Linked DNA regions of Diceros bicornis minor. The protein of the gene in region 2 interacts with the protein of the main gene of each other region in a biochemical or structural test. Links are inferred from orthologs where the notes say so. Each region holds a gene or a part of one and is shown on either strand. Other genes may lie near its edges.

What was found.
Region 1: the proteins of ITPR1 (region 2) and CABP1 form a complex in vitro, tested with the Homo sapiens proteins (2 studies listed by BioGRID). The link is inferred for Diceros bicornis minor from reciprocal best matches to the Homo sapiens genes ITPR1 and CABP1.

What each region holds. Positions count from the first base shown.
Region 1 is NC_080774.1:17,077,211-17,085,159, forward strand, and holds the start of CABP1 (calcium-binding protein 1), read left to right. Parts: upstream 1-4,938; 5' UTR 4,939-5,026; coding exon 5,027-5,674; intron 5,675-7,949. UniProt on the Homo sapiens protein: Modulates calcium-dependent activity of inositol 1,4,5-triphosphate receptors (ITPRs). Inhibits agonist-induced intracellular calcium signaling.
Region 2 is NC_080741.1:75,258,231-75,265,804, reverse strand, and holds the start of ITPR1 (inositol 1,4,5-trisphosphate receptor type 1), read left to right. Parts: upstream 1-4,563; 5' UTR 4,564-4,704; intron 4,705-5,489; 5' UTR 5,490-5,565; intron 5,566-7,574. UniProt on the Homo sapiens protein: Inositol 1,4,5-trisphosphate-gated calcium channel that, upon inositol 1,4,5-trisphosphate binding, mediates calcium release from the endoplasmic reticulum (ER).

The DNA.
Region 1 (7,949 bases), on a different chromosome or scaffold from region 2:
TCAGCTCGTGACAACCTTGGCCTCACTGTCAGAGCCTCTTACCAACTGAGTTCAGTTGTCACTATATTGATTTTATTTGTTTTTTTCCCCGAAAGCCCCAGTACATAGTTGTACATCATAGTTGCACATCCTTCTAGTTGCTGTATGTGGGACACGGCCTCAGCATGGCCGGAGAAATGGTGCGTCGGTGCGCGCCCAGGATCTGAACCCCGGGCCGCCAGCAGTGGAGCGTGCACAGTTAACCGCTAAGCCACAGGGCCAGCCCCCAGTGGTCACTATATTGAAAATCATAATTATGTCCCTAAGACAGTCCAGTAGTTGTTTCTATTTGTCGGTATTAATCATTTTTGCTCTCTCTCTCCTGCTTGTTTGATTTTCCTTTTTATTGAGTTATAATTTATACACAGTGAGATGTACAGTCTTAAGTGTACAGTTCATGTACATGCATATATTCTTTTTTGTGTGTGTGAGGAAGATCAGCCCTGAGCTAACATCCACGCCAATCCTCCTCTTTTTGCTAAGGAAGACTGGCCCTAGGCTAACATCTGTGCCCATCTTCCTCCACTTTATATGGGACACCGCCACAGCATGGCTTGACAAGCTGTGCATCGGTGCGCGCCCGGGATCTGAACCCCGGGCCGCCAGCAGTGGAGTGTGCGCACTTAACCACTACACCACGGGGCTGGCCCCCAAGGCATATATTCTTATAACCCACATTCGTTTTCATTTTATTTTAAAAATCTTGGAATCCTCTTAAGTGATGAACATTTGGGTCCAAAAGCAGATTTCTGGAAAGGAATCCCCTATTCAGTCCACTGACTGCCCTCTCCCCTTGAAAAAAATTCTCATCCAGTCCTTTCCTGAGTTCCCCAATCACCACAGAGGACTTAAAGCCATAAGAACATTTTGTAATCCCAGCTTTCTGGAGCCTAACAGAGAGATTTTGTCATCTGAAAACAAGGGAGAGATTAAGTGCGGAATTTGATTCTGACAACAGCAGAAAGGAACAGGGCAGATAAGAAACGTCGGAGAATTAATTCAAGCACCACTGTGCAAATGCTCCACAACCTTTTTCAAGACTCTAAACATGACATACAGTCCTGGTCAGGAAAGAACAGTTTTTAAAGGAGTTTGCTGCAGGGACATGACATTATCAAACTGATACGTTAAATGAGAGACCTGGGTACATTTTAAGAATTTTTCCCTGAACCTTGCCTTGCTCCTTCCGAATGGATTCTCTTAGAAATGAGACATCAAGACAGCTAAACACACTGTTCTCTCTAGACTGATGTCATGGTCCCAGACCCATCATCTCTCTTTAACTGCCCTCGTGTGCCAGGGTGTCTTTCCAGCACTCCAAAACAGCTCTTCTTTTGCATAACTTTCACCACGGGTTATACAGTCAAATAATATAACAACATGTAATTATTGAATAATTACAATTTGTACAACACATAAAGGCAAGTGAGAGGCTTTATGTGAAAATGCTTTTAAAGCTATAAAGGTATATATAATCCAAAAGGACTATTTAAAAATTATTTCTACGTGGCAGGATACTGTGCAGTAACCATATTCCCGTTATATCTCACAATCAGAGAGGCAAGCCATTCTCTTTTTCCACATCCAGAACTTTCCATGTCTTAATGGTGGTGTTTCCAAACTATTTCCTGAATCTGATCCAGCCTCTGTGTGTAGTCCTTATTACCTCCCCACCAGACTTAAAACTCATAAAGAAAGGCACGATGTTCACTTATTTCCTGCTCTATTCCCAATGCCTAGCACATGGTAGGCACCCAAGCGTTTTTGTTAAATGAATGAACCTAATTTCCTAATTGCTCTTGCCTTCAGTGTCGTCCTAATCTACTCCACAATGCATCAGCATTATCTTCAAAAACACAGTTCTGCTTATGTCCTGTACAAACTCATACAACCTTCAAGGACTCTCTACGGTCTGTAGAATAAAGGACAAACTCCTGAACGTCACATTCAAGATCCTTCACAGTCTAGTTCCAACAACCTTTCCAGGCCTGTCTTTCCAGCCTTTATCTCCCCCCGCACCCCCCCAAACCACTAAATGATTCCCAAACTTGCTGTGCTGGTTCAGGGACCCAAGACTTCACTTAAGCTGTCCCCTCTCCCCTCTGCCTGGAATGACCTTCCTTTTACTTTCCTTATTCATCTGGTGGAATCTCACTTCTCCTTCAAAGTGCAGCCCAAATGGCACCTTCTCTAGCACCTTCTCCAGCTCCCCTAAAGGTTCTGCTTTGGTGCTCCCATATAACCTACCTAGTCATTCCCTTATTGCCTGTTTTCCATTATATTACAGTGACTTGTATCCTCTTTTTTTTTTCTTTAAATTCTTTGAGAGCAGGGACTGAATCTTATCCTAATTCTTTAATCATCTCCCGAATCTGACCACTTCTTACCACCTCCCCCACTAACACTAGTCCAAGCCACCATCCTCTCTCACTCGTTCCATGCAACAGCACCTGACTGGCTCCATGTTGCCACACTGCCATCCAGCAGTGGACCTGCTGCAAAGCAGCCAATGATCCCTTCACAATGTAAACAGCCATATGCCACTCCTCTACCACAAACCCGCTAGTGGTTTCTCTTCACATTTAGGAAAAATCCAGTGCCCTTGACTCTGGCCCCCGCCTTCCTCTCCAATTTCATCTGGACCACCCTCCCTCTGCTCACTCCAGCCCAACTTGTCTCTTTGCTTCTGCTTGAATATGCCGGCTGTTCCCTCCTCAGGACTTCTGAACTGTCTCCCCTCTGCCAGGAAAGCTCTTCCCCCAGATATATGCGTGGCTTGCTCCCTTACTTCAGTGTGGTCTCTGCTCAAAAGTCCCCTCCTCAGGGAGGACTTCCCTAATCCCTGTCTCAAACAGCACCCCCCCATTAAGCCCTCCCCTCTTACCTGCTTTCTTTCTCTTCCCAGCACTAAACGCCACCAATGTGTCACTATTGATTTTCCATGCATTTATATAGTTGTTCATTTGTGGCTGAAGAAAGAGACTTTGTTTTGTTTACCACCATGTCCCTGGTTCAGAACAGTGCCTGCCAGATAACAGGCACTCAAGTGGATGAATGGATGAATCTTTGTATCCCAGGTGCCTAACACAGTGCTTGGTTCTAGAAAAATCTGTGAAGTGAAGGACCAAATTCATGAATTTTACAAATGAAATGGCATCTTGGCATATATCCAGGATTATCCAGGATCTGAGCACAAGTGTTTCATCGATGGGCTTCATGAACATAATCTTGATTTCTTTTATTTACTCTAATACCATAGATGATGTAACCAGATTCTTCCCTTTTTCAGAAACAGTTGACAGAGGCCTTGCCCAAGACTATTTAGGGAATTTCAGAAAGATAACTAAGAGGGGCACGGGGATTTAGAATACCCTTCAGCCCACTGCCTCTTATCAGCTCCTGAGGGATTCTGACAAGGTATTTGTCTCCTGTGATTTATGCAGAACGTACATTGTGGTTAATCCAGCTGAACACTGATTATTCTGAGGGCGGGAACAGGTAAGACTGATTGACCCTAAATTCTGGGAGGGTGGACCCTTTACCCCCTTTATGTCTGAATGGACATTGCAGTGAGGCTCCAGGGCTGCTGCACACCCGCCTGCCTCAGGATTTGTGCTTGAGTGGCTTTGATATGGCAATTCAGTCCCTTAAAATAGGTGAGTTGGGGCACAATTTGCCACACTTCCCTTGTTCACTTTGGCCTCTGGGCAGTTGCTTTCCTCGCCCAGCCTGTGTTTCTTAATTCCTTGAATATGGCTAGGGAAAAGAAGCAGTGTAGAGAAGGGTGAACTCTTGGCATGAGTGATGTGTATCATATTGGCAATCTGTCCATCTATCCTTCTGTCGAGGCTAAGCGGTGACCAGACTTGCCCTGTTCTCATGCATGGATGGCATCAGGGCCAGAGACCAGAACAAGGAGAGCATGGGAAGTTCGCATGCCACCCGCCTGCAAATCTCAACTATCCCTTTACTGAGCAAGAGTGGCAGAGGGGGCCTCAGAAGGTGCAGAGGGAAGGGAACTAGCTTAAGTGCACGTGTGCCCTGTTCCAAGGTAAGCTAGGCCTTGTACGTGCATGGTGTCGTTTGATGGTACCAAGAAATTAGTTATGATTATTATCTGCATTTTACAGAAGAGGAAAACAAGGGTCAGAGAGGTTGATGACACTTGCCCAAGTTACCTAGATGGGAAGTGGCAGAGCTGGGATTTGAGATTCAAACCAGAACTGTGTGACTCCCTGGCTGCCTACCAAAAGCAGGAATTTCTCTAACATCTAGAAGGGCATGAAGATGAGACGGGTGACAAGAGCTTGAGGGGCAGCAAGTGGGTCCTACCTGAGACTTGATCATCACCAGGCCCTGCAAAGTCCAGATTATAGATGCCACTTGGCTTCTCTTCTGTTCTGAGAACTGAAAGGTCTGTGGCTGATTTACCAGGGTCATCTTGGTGCCACTCCATGGTTCTGGGAGTGGATGAAGCGCCCTATAGAGTGGAGCCTTTCCTTCCAGCAGTGTCCTTCCACGCCATTCTGGCTCTACGTTTGCACGTAGTGGTGTCATAGAGTGCCTTCATTCTCCTTGGGTCTCTAATTTACTGCACCTCTCTCGTCCTCATTTCCAAAGTTGTACTCCCTGGGGAGTGCACCCAGCCTGCATTTCTGGTGGTCCGGCGGTTCCAGGTCACTATGGGAGCCTCCTGCCGTGTTAGGGGCACTACCGGCGCTGCCAAGGTCTGGGCATCTTTGGGGCCCTTCGCCAAGCCCCTTCCCTTGCGCTCCCGGCTCCGCGCCGCAGCGCCCCCTCCGCCGCCAGAGGCCGCCCGGAAGCGGGGCTCCTCGAGCGCGGGGCGGGGCAAGGGGCGGGGCGCGGCGGTACCTGGGCCGCAGGGGAGTCGGGGGTGGGCTCTCCAGGGACAGCCGGCGGCCCCCCAGATTCGCACTGCCAGCCGCCGGGGAGCTCGGGGCTCCGGGCGTAGAGGCTGCGCTGTCACATGGGCGGCGGAGACGGGGCCACATTTAAGCGGCCGGGGGACGGCGCCCGCCTCCAGGGCGTCCTCGGGCTTGGCTCCCGCCGGGCGCCCCGCTCTCTGCCCGCCGGGGGCCCCGCGCCGCGCCGCACCGCGCCGCCCCCGCCGGGCCATGCGAGCGCGGGCCCCGCCGCGATGAGCTCGCACATCGCCAAAAGCGAGTCCAAGACGTCGCTGCTGAAGGCGGCGGCGGCAAGCGGGGGCAGCCGGGTTCCCCGCCACGGCCCTGCCCGGGAGCCAGTGCTGCCCAGCCGCCGGCTGCCCGGCACTTGCCCGGGCACGCCGCCCCCGTCCGGGGACCCGAGTTCGCGGAGGCCCCTGTGCCGGCCGGCGCCGCGAGAGGAGGGCGCGCGAGGGAGCCGGCGCGGGCTCCCCCAGGCGCACTGCAGGCCCCGGGAGGCGCTGCCGGCCGCGGCGTCCCGACCTTCGCCGCCGTCGCCGCTGCCGCCGGCCCGCGGGCGGGATGGGGAGGAACGGGGGCTGTCCCCGGCGCTCGGCCTCCGGGGCTCGCCGCGAGCCCCGGGTCGCGGGGACTCCGCTCCAGCCGCCGCGTCCGAGGCAGACCCGTTCCTCCACCAGCTGCGCCCCATACTCAGCTCCGCCTTCGGCCAGGTAAGGGCCGCGCCTCCCGCCCGCGCTCCCGGGAAGGGCGCTCGGGACCCTGCCGCGGCCGCGCGCTCACAGCCCTCCGCCTGCTGCCCGCGGCCCCCGGGGTCACGCTCCCCTAGTCCTCCCGCAGCCCGCGCCCTTGCCGGCGCTTCTCCTCCCCCGTGCCTGATTCAGCACCCTGTGCGCTGTCCACGCTCCCGGCCTCTTCTGGGCCAGTCGCCACCCTATAGCCTCCCTCCACCTGCCAGAATGGGCCAGCTCTGGAAGGAAGCGACCGCCACAAACGGCCCGGAGATTTGCACGGGTCAAGGAGGGGCGCTCCGAGCAGGTGGCGCCAAACCCACTCCTCTGGCCTCTGGCCAAGACCGCCAGTGAGCGACCCAAGACAGCAAGGAGTTTGGCATGTGGGGGTCAAAAGTGGCGACCTTAGGGCACACAGCCTTGCTTGGGGATGAAGGACCCTAGCCATTGCCTGTGGTGGCCCTTAAAACCTGGGAAAAGTTAAGAAAGCTAGAGGGAGGCTCAAAAATATGAGAAAAGAGAAGAAGTGTCTGGGTAGGCATGGAGGGGCTGTACAGATCCATGGCTCAAACTGGAACTCTGGGGTGTTTTAAGGATATTGTCACTCCAGGGATGCCATTAGGATGGCAGTTGGGCAATTGTTAAGTTGTAGGACGTGGAATAACACCCTAGCCTGAATTGGTGTGCATTCTAGGGTAAGAAAGGTCACTAAGGGGCCACCCGTGGCTCCTTTTGTTTCCTCTAGGCCTTTCTCTCAAGGATCCCAGGCAGCTGGGCATCTGCCCTTTAATCCAGGTTTAGAGTTTGGAGGTGTGCTGCTGGGGAGCCTGTGAACTCCTGAGCCAAGCCAGAATTTCCTCTAGTTCTGAGTCCTTAATTAAGTCAAACTCGTTGGCACAGAGTTGAGGCAGCTCTGCAGCAGCCGAGGAGGGGTGTAATGCGGAGCTCTGATCAGAGTGTTTGCGTGGTGTGTGGGGGGAGAGGGTGGCCTGAGCGTTTCTGTGCTGGGACGTAGCGTAAAGAAGCCGTTTCAAGCTCTGATCCTGCCATGCTGGATCCGAATTCCAAGGAGGCCGTGTGTGTTTTGCTTCAGATCTGCACATTCCTTTTCAAAATACTACTCGGCAGCGGCTGATGCTGGAGGAGGTCAGACATGAAGGCAGCTGCACATGGATTCGGGTTGCACAAGGCTGCTGTGGTGGTGTGAGAGGGCAGCAGTGTGTGGCTTTGTTCCTGCGGGGAGCCCTCATTAGCTGAGTTAGCTGGAAACAGTTCTCCAGAGTAGAGATTTGGATGCAGGGCTGTGCGAGTTAGTGCAGTGAGGTGTTGAGGGAGAAGTTCCCTGCAGGGGCTTGTGTATTAGTGAGGAAGTGTAGAGCGTGAGGGCAAGAGTGGTCTGTAGAGTGGGTCTGGGCTGCAAAAGGAATACTGTGTGGCTGAATCTGTAGCACTTACTCACCCATTTATCCAACATTTTTTGAGCGTCTACTTTGCCCAAGCATTTGCTGGAGACTAGGGAGACAACAGTGAACAAGATAGCCAGGGTTCTGGCTATTTTCGAGTTTACAATCTGGCAGTTTGGAAGGGAAGGTCATTGGCCCAGAATCACACACTTTCTGGTTATTTAGTTTACTGGTGATCTGACTTCATTCCTGGAAAAAGAGCCCTTTCTTTCCAGTCTTGCAGAATTTGTCTGCATGGCCCTTTGCGAGCTCAGAGCATGCCAGCTACCTGCTTTTTTCATCCTGCTTTCTCAGTCATTAAATGAAGACTATTCTCCAGCTCAGTGTTCTGGAATGTCACCAGGGTCACCTGAGTCAGGAAGAGCTGGAAGGTCCCATCAAATATTTACTACCTCCTTCTGGAAGCTCTTGCCTCTGAAGCTGCAGACATTTTTTTTTTTAAAGCTCAGCACATTCGGTTTGGGCTTCCTGCTGACAGCTGTAAGGCATCTGCTCAAACAACAGCAACAACAACAAAACCCGGCCTGGGACTTCTGTGTCAGAGTCTCCACTCTCCTGCAACAGAAGGGAATTAGTCTTTCCTTCCCTTCTCTTTGCTTTGAGAGTTCTGTCCTTAGAGACAAGGTCAGATGGAGAGAAGAGGAATAGGGTTCAGAATAGAGAAACTTTCAGATAAGATCTGCTTAGGGTAAAGTATAGCCCTGAGGAAGTATATGTTTCATGTCTTCCAAGTTCCATTTATTTACTTTAAGTGAATCACTTAACCTCATTAAGCCTCTGTTTCTTTATCTGCC
Region 2 (7,574 bases):
AGAACTGGTGCTAAAATTGTGAGTATCTGTGTTGTGCTGGGGCAAATGTCCATAGGTTTTATAAGATTCTCAGTGGGCTATGATTCCCTCCCTCCACCACAAAAAGTTCACAATGACCAAGAGCGACTAGTTGGAAACTGGCTACACAGTAGCTATTTCTCTTTACTGATAGTTCTCATGTTCCAGGGCATATATAGGAAACACATCACACCAAAAAATAGATTGAATTCTCTGACTTCAGTGTTGGTCATTCTGTCTTGCCACTTAAGAGTGATTTGGAGAAGCTGTCAATTAAAGTAGTCAAGGCTCATTGTGACATTCATAGGTAATTAAAATCTTTTACCCAGGAGAAAATTGGGACTAGCGCTGCCCCAATAATCTGAAGTTTGGTCTGGAGCTGAGTACTAGACCATGACATATCAACGTTTTCTCCATGCTTGTTGGTGATGTTCTCTCACTTTGGTATAACTAGGGTAAGCTTGCAAAGTCGTTTCATGTCCAATGACTCATTTGATCTGGTCAGGTTGGCAGGGCAAGGATTATTCGCTTTGCTCTATCAAAAAACAGCCTCTGTAAGGTTAGATGACCGGCCACGGTTACATAGATATTAAGGTTGCAGCTGGGTGTCAAACCCACATTTTCTGATCCCTGCTTTCTCCAGCATATCTTGCTGTCTTAATCAGGACAGCATTTGAGGGTGGGATTCTAGGCAGATTAATTCAGTTGCAGTTTTCAGCTGTATACTGCTGATGAAAACCTGTTTCTATTTGTAGGGTTTCCCTGGGGGGTAGGCTGGTGTGCTAGTTTTGGACGTTCTTCAGAATTCTGCTTAGTCTATGATACTATCCTGACTCTGCAAAGCCCTCCTAATTCCCTGCATAGGCATTTCAAGGGCAAAGTCATAAATGGCAATTTTCAGGGCTAGTTGTCATCTTGAATTGGATCTCGAGAATCAGATTCTTGGTTTTCTAGACTAGTGCTGTCCAACAGCATGTAATATGAGCCACACATGTAATTTTTAATATCGTAGTAGTACATTAAATGAGTAAAAAGAAGCAAATGAAATTAATTTAATAATATATTTTAATTCAATATATCCAAAATATTATCATTTCAACATGTGATCAATATAAAAATTATTCATGAGATATTTTGATTTTTTTTGTACTAAGTCTTTGAAATTCAAAATGTATTTTATACCTGCTTCACATCCTAGTTAGAGCTAGCTACATCTTAAGTGCCTAAATGGCTAGTGGCTACTGTATTGGAAAGCACAGGTCTAGAAAATTCTTCCAGGAAAAGAAATACAGTGAAGAAAAAGAAGCCCCCTTCCCTCTATTGATAATGGAGAATGAGTTGGGTAGTGGCTTTTCTTTTTTGTGTGTGAGGAAGATTAGCCCTGAGCTAACATCTGTTGCCAATCTCCTCTTTTGGCTGAGGAAGATTGGCCCTGGGCTAACATCCGTGCCCAGCTTCCTCTACTTTATATGGGACACCGCCACAGCATGGCTTGATAAGTGGTGTGTGGGTCCACACCCTGGATTTGAACCTGCAAACTCTGGGCCGTCGTAGTGGAGCACACAAACTTAACCGCTGCACCACTGGGCCGGCCCCAGTAGTGGCCCTTTTATTATGATATACTTCATCATCAATCATCAATCATACATCATCATAGAGAACCTCTTAGCCTCATAGCAAATTTAGCAAAACTACTTTCTAGTGACCCAGTAGCTTCCAGAACGTGGTGCCAGTTGCAAAATGTTGAATAGGACCATTAACACACATACGTGGAAGAAACAGTCTATTATGCGATTGGGTTATAAGGCTTGTGTGCTCAAAAAATATGTTCATCTAGCCTGCCATATGCCTGACACACCTTCTATTAAAACACTTTTTTCTAACAAATTTTTTTTTATGTATCTATTAAAATGTGCACACAGAAGTCTAGGGCCTGCTGGGCTGGGGCAGGTAGGAACTACAAGCATGAATAAAACATAGTTCCTGCCTTCAATGAAACTTGTGGTCTGGGAGGGAAGACAGTGGCTAAAACAGTTAAGGGTCAAGTGTCCACTGCATGGTGAAGACGAAAATCACCAAACTCCAGCTCTCAAACAGGACCAAGTTTTCTTCAGAAAACACACGTTAAAATTCCATTGTTTTTCTGAATTAGGAGCAAGTGAAATAATTACCCTTTAGTATTTACCAGTTATATTGGCATAGACTTAGTTGTTGAATTTGTTTGAAAAGTAGAGCCAAAAACCCTTTAGAAGTGGAACAGATTGTTTTCATGAGGGAAAAGAAGAGAGGGGACAGCTGGGAAAGGTGTGGACTCCTTTGTTGTGACAGGATGGGGAAATTTCTTGATGATGGGGAGTGGTAGCTTGAGGCATTAGGTAGAAGGCTCTAGTGCCCTGTGACTAGGGGATAATGCTGAAGAGAAGAGGGGCAAGAGTGAACAGAATGAACACAAACTTTGTCTACTTCACAGCTTTGCTCATTCCTGGACTGGTATTAAATGCTTATATGAGCAAATAAATACAATGCATACATTGACACTGGGGAAGCAGCGGAAGGGAGGGTAGTAGTTAAGGTCCAGAGTTCGGGAGTCAGGCAGCCCAGCATCCTGTGCGACTATGGGAAGTTACTTAACCTCTCTGTGCCTCAGTTTTCTCATAAGTAAAAAAATGGTTCGTTATAGGATTTGATGAGATAATGTACATTAAGAGCTTAGGATAACGGCTGGCACGTGGTGTGTACCCCATAAACATAATTATTATTAGTTTTGGCACTAATTATTACATCAGTAATAATTATTAGCTGTGGTGCGCCCCTCATTTGCTCCTGAAGTTTCACAGGCAATCCTGATAGCAAGTAGGATGACAGGAGACAAATGCTCCTGATTGTCTCCCTCTACAATGGCAAAACTGGGGCAACGAGATGAAAATGACTTGCCCAAGGGCTCAGAGGCCACTCCTAAAATGGGGAGGGAGGCCATTTAAGGCAGTGGCAATGGGTTTCCCCAAAGACAAGGGTTTAGAACACTCATAGGCTGGAATTAGAATCCAGGCTGCACCACTTAATTCACGGTGTCATCTCCAGAAGTTACCCGATTGCTCTGAGCCCTCAGCTGTTCACCTGTCAAACAAGGATAATAAATATGCCTAGGGTGGTTAAAACTCAATAGCATGAAAAATGTATGTGGTCTGGGCTTAATAAAATCAGCCTCCCCAGTTACCGTTATTACTATTGTTGTTATAGCAGATCCTACGCAGAGTCAGGCAGTGCCTGCCTGACATGCTGTGCTGGGTTTTGGCTCACCACTGTGGCCCAGAGCCTGGCATAGTGCTTGGCATCCAGTAGACACTTAGGAAACGTTTGTGGAATGAATGCACATCATCTGAGGCAGGGAGGGCAGCCGGCTGACTTGGCCTCGGAGCTTAGCTCTCGCTCTCCTTCCAAAAACAAGAGCCTGAAGCAGCTTGTAGCCCGAGAGCCCAGGCACTAGTTAGCAGTGAGCTGAACCCACCTTCAGTCCCTGAAGCTCCTGTCGGAGCTGCTGGAGGGCCCCCCCGTTTGGACACGCATCTTTGTGTAAGCGGCTCTCTCCGAAGCCCTTGTTTTTCTGGTTTGCGGTTTATTTACTTAAGCATTTACAGCTCCCGGGAGCAGAGGGGCTGCTTGAAGCAGGGTCAGGACCGAGGTCGCGGTCTCTATTTATTTTCTGTCTCCCAATCTCAGCGCTGGCAAGTAACAACACGGCTCCTTTATCTGTGCACCGGAGAGGCTTGCGTTTCTTTACCTCCTGCGGGGCGAAGAAGGACGCACGGAGTTCGGATACAGAAAAGTGTTCTCAAGCCACTTGCCTGTGTCCCCGCTTGCGTGGACCGTCGCTCCCACACTTAGTTTTCTGTGCAAACCAGAGCAAGGCAGAGCAGATTAAATAAAGACAACCTCGCGCCTTTAATCCTTGACCGCAAACACTGGCGTTTTTGTGCCCTGGATTTCTGAAATTCTTGGCTCCGGGACTCAAGGCGGGGGGAGGGTGGGTACAGCTTGTAAAAACTTCCCAAAGCACAAATCCGAGCTCCTCCCTGCCCCTCGCTCCCAGTGATACCTGGATTCAAAGGAAAAGGGGCAGCCAGAGGAGGAGCGTCCCCAGAGGCTGGGGGCGCCCCCCAGGGGTGGCTTTCGATCACGGGCTCCAAGCCAGGCCAGCTACCCCTGAAGACGCGGGTTTGAAGCCCAGACGCCCCGCGCGACGCCCCTCCTTCATCCCCGCGAGCCGTCTATTTAGAGCCCAGCCCGGGAGCCCAGGGGATTCTGGGACTTGTAGTCCTCCCCTGCAGCCCCAGGCGCCGCCACGACCTCAGACTTGGACTACATTGCCCAGGGAGCTTCCCGGCCTATATAAGCAGCGAGGAGCGGCTTCAAAGTGCAGTAAGCATGTGGATGTGCTGCTGAAGCGTTTCCTCAGTCTTGCTGGGGTGGGAGGAAAGGAGGAGGAGGTGGTGGTGGAGGAGGAGGAGGAGGAGGGAGAGGCAGAGGGTGGAGAGAGAGAAAGCGCACGCCGAGAGGAGGTGTGGGTGTTCCGCTTCCATCCTAACGGAACGAGCTCCCTCTTCGCCGACATGGGATTACCGAGCGGCTGCTAACCCCTCTCCTCGCCCTGCTCCCCCAAACCGGCGTGGCTCCCCGGGCACCAAGGTAGCGGCTGGGGCTGGGCAGAGGGCGCGGGGAGTTGGTACTGCACCCCCGGGCGCAGAAGTTTTTGCCCCACTCTCTGGGAGTTCTTGGTGGATTTGCATGCACTTGCATGCATTTGGGGGTTCTTTTACTGTGGGCATTTGGGGGGGGTTCATTTCAGGTAAAAAAATTCTCGACTCCAGTGATTGGCTTTGAGGGCTACCCATTCTAGACTGGAATGGCATTCCCTCAAGTTGGAAACTTGCAGCAACTGCAGGAAATAGTTTTTTTTTGGGGGGGGAGATTGTGGGGGTGTCATATGTGAGTCCGTTCAAGGAAACAGTCTTTCTTAAAATGTAGCCCTCCCTCGAGCTGCATGGTTGGGAAAATAATGCATGTGTGGGGGCCCCAGTGGGGACGGTTTTAAAAAAACGGAAGAAAACCCGGGGAGCGGTGAGGGATGAAGTGTGGACGAAGCTCACGCCCAGTGAGGATGCGGGCTTCGGATACTTGGCCTCCGCTCCGGGAAATAAGTGCTTTGGGATCTGCCAAAGACTTCCCTTAGTTCCAGCTCCCCGGCACGTTCGAAGTTTGTGCGTGCCTCGTCTCACTTGTCAGTTACATGCTGGAAATAAGGAAGCGAAGTTACCTGTAATCTTTGCCCAAGTGATCCGACCCACCTGCCTGTCAAATTTAGGGGGAAGGCTTCTCCAGGAAGGAGGCTAAAGAAGGTGGAAGCATGGAATTTGGAGCATTTCTATTAGGGAACCTTCGCGGTCTCATAGTCTTTCTTTCTAAATACTTAGGAGCTGATTACAGAGGAGCAGGATTCGCACCCCTGGCTTGGCGTGTTTTGGCAGCAGAGTGCCTGACCTGGGTCAGGTGAGTGTGGAAGCCTGAGTGCTGTAGTCAATAATGAGTTTTTGTCCTAAGCCTACTTTAAGTGCTCTCTAAAGAGCCATGGAGATGGGGAGTAGGAAGGAAAAGGAAACTCAATGGTTCAGTCTCCAAAATTTGTCACTGCCTTTGGTGAGGGCTTTTGGGAGCAGAGGAGATCCAAGGGGCAGTCCTACCTTGCACTTTTGGCCATGGCTCGGAATTGAAGCAGAGTGAAGATTTATGAGAGGAGGGGAAAAAAGCCATTAAATAAAAAGGATGCCCATTGGTGGCCTGAGAATTGAACTTGCCAGGCAGCATGTTGATGATTTAAATTCTGAAGGATGCAGTGCATTTCATCTGCCAAGATATGTAAGCAAAAATTAACTGCCTCTCTCTTTCAAAAATAGTCACTTTCTTTTTTCTTACTGTCAATGTGTGTTTAATCAGAGTAGGTTGGATTGCAAGAAATGAAAGTGATTGCTGGTTAATTGAAAGAATTAGAACTTTAGAAAGGGAAGTCAGTTCTTCAAGCATAAGTTAGTAGCATCCAGCCCTTGACTTGAAGCCACTTGGATGTCAAGGAATCTGATAGGTCCCTGTTGTTTAGGTACCTGTAGTGGGATATGACCTGAGGGCAGCATTTTCTGTGAACACAAGCAGCTCCTATTTTTTTCCCCAAAATGGTCAGACTGCACTGCAAGAAAGGGAGGTTTTAACGGGTGCTCGTACATCCCCATTGCTGCAGATTTGGTCATCAAAAGTTTTTTCTTCCGAAATGGTTAGGAACAGGGTAAACAACAGGGTAACGGGTGAGGGACTGGGCCTTGGTAACTTCTTAAACATTCTAAATATTTAGCTGTTCCCTGGGCTACAATGTTTGGGCTTTTCTAATTAAAAAATGAGAGTCAGACACTTCATTATAGTAGTATAGTCCTTTTGTTTCCTGTTGATAAGATCCTCAGGAGTGCTGGTGGAGTGGGAAGCATTTGAATGTATGAGGTCTGGTTCCTTCTTGGAGTTCTATTGACTCCCATGGCTCCATGGGCACTCAAAAGGCCAAGGATTGGGTTCAGTTCCCCTCCTCTCAGTAAGCTGTAGCCAAGGAGAGACTGTTCCACAGACTCTTCTCCAACTGGTTGCTAAAAATAATAATACTGACACATTAAGGACTTGTAAGTCAGATCTAGAGCCATATATCATGGAAACCCTGTGAGTCAGGTACAGGTGAAGAAACTGAGGTGCAAAGAGTGAAATCTCTTACCCAGTAGCTAGTACACAGTGGAAGCAAGGTATAACCCCAGGCTGTGGGGCTCTCCTGTCCTGTGTCCCACAGATGCATCTAAGTTGGGGGGTGGGAAATGGTGAGGGAGAAGCTAGGAAAAATGGTAAACTTATTGCTGTTGATGAAATAACTCTTGCTTATGTCCCACCAATGATGCATGAACAATACTTATCTTGATGTAAGAAGGAAATAATTTTGCTCTGACATAGGGATGAAAGAGTGTGGATGTTTGAGGAGGTGTTAGGTGTTGTACTGAGTTTGTTTTGGAAAGCTGTATGCTGAAAGTCTGAATGAGGAGAGTAAAAGAAACCAAACCAAACCACAAGGAACATTAAGTTCAGCATTAGATTCATCTCATACCTGAAATCCATCTTGATCATCTACATCAAGGCATCTGAGCAGGTTGAAAGAATGAGGCGTTTCTCCATCTGAATAATTCGAAAGTTTAAATTACAGTGAGTCTGAACTGTGAAATGTTATCTTTTCATATATCCTTCAGTTTGCTTTGTGGCCACTTGTGCAGAACGCTTTTCTTTTTCATTTCTTTCTTTCGTGTGTGTGAGTTGAAAGTACAATCTGTTCTTTGAATAATTCAAATCAAAACAGACTATCCTATCAAAATTTCCTTCTTATCGGACAGGGAAAGTTCTTCATGCTGTAAATGAATTACTACTGGCCTCCACTTTGAGACCCGTGAAAGTTGTTTGAGGTTGACAATGGTATCATCCAT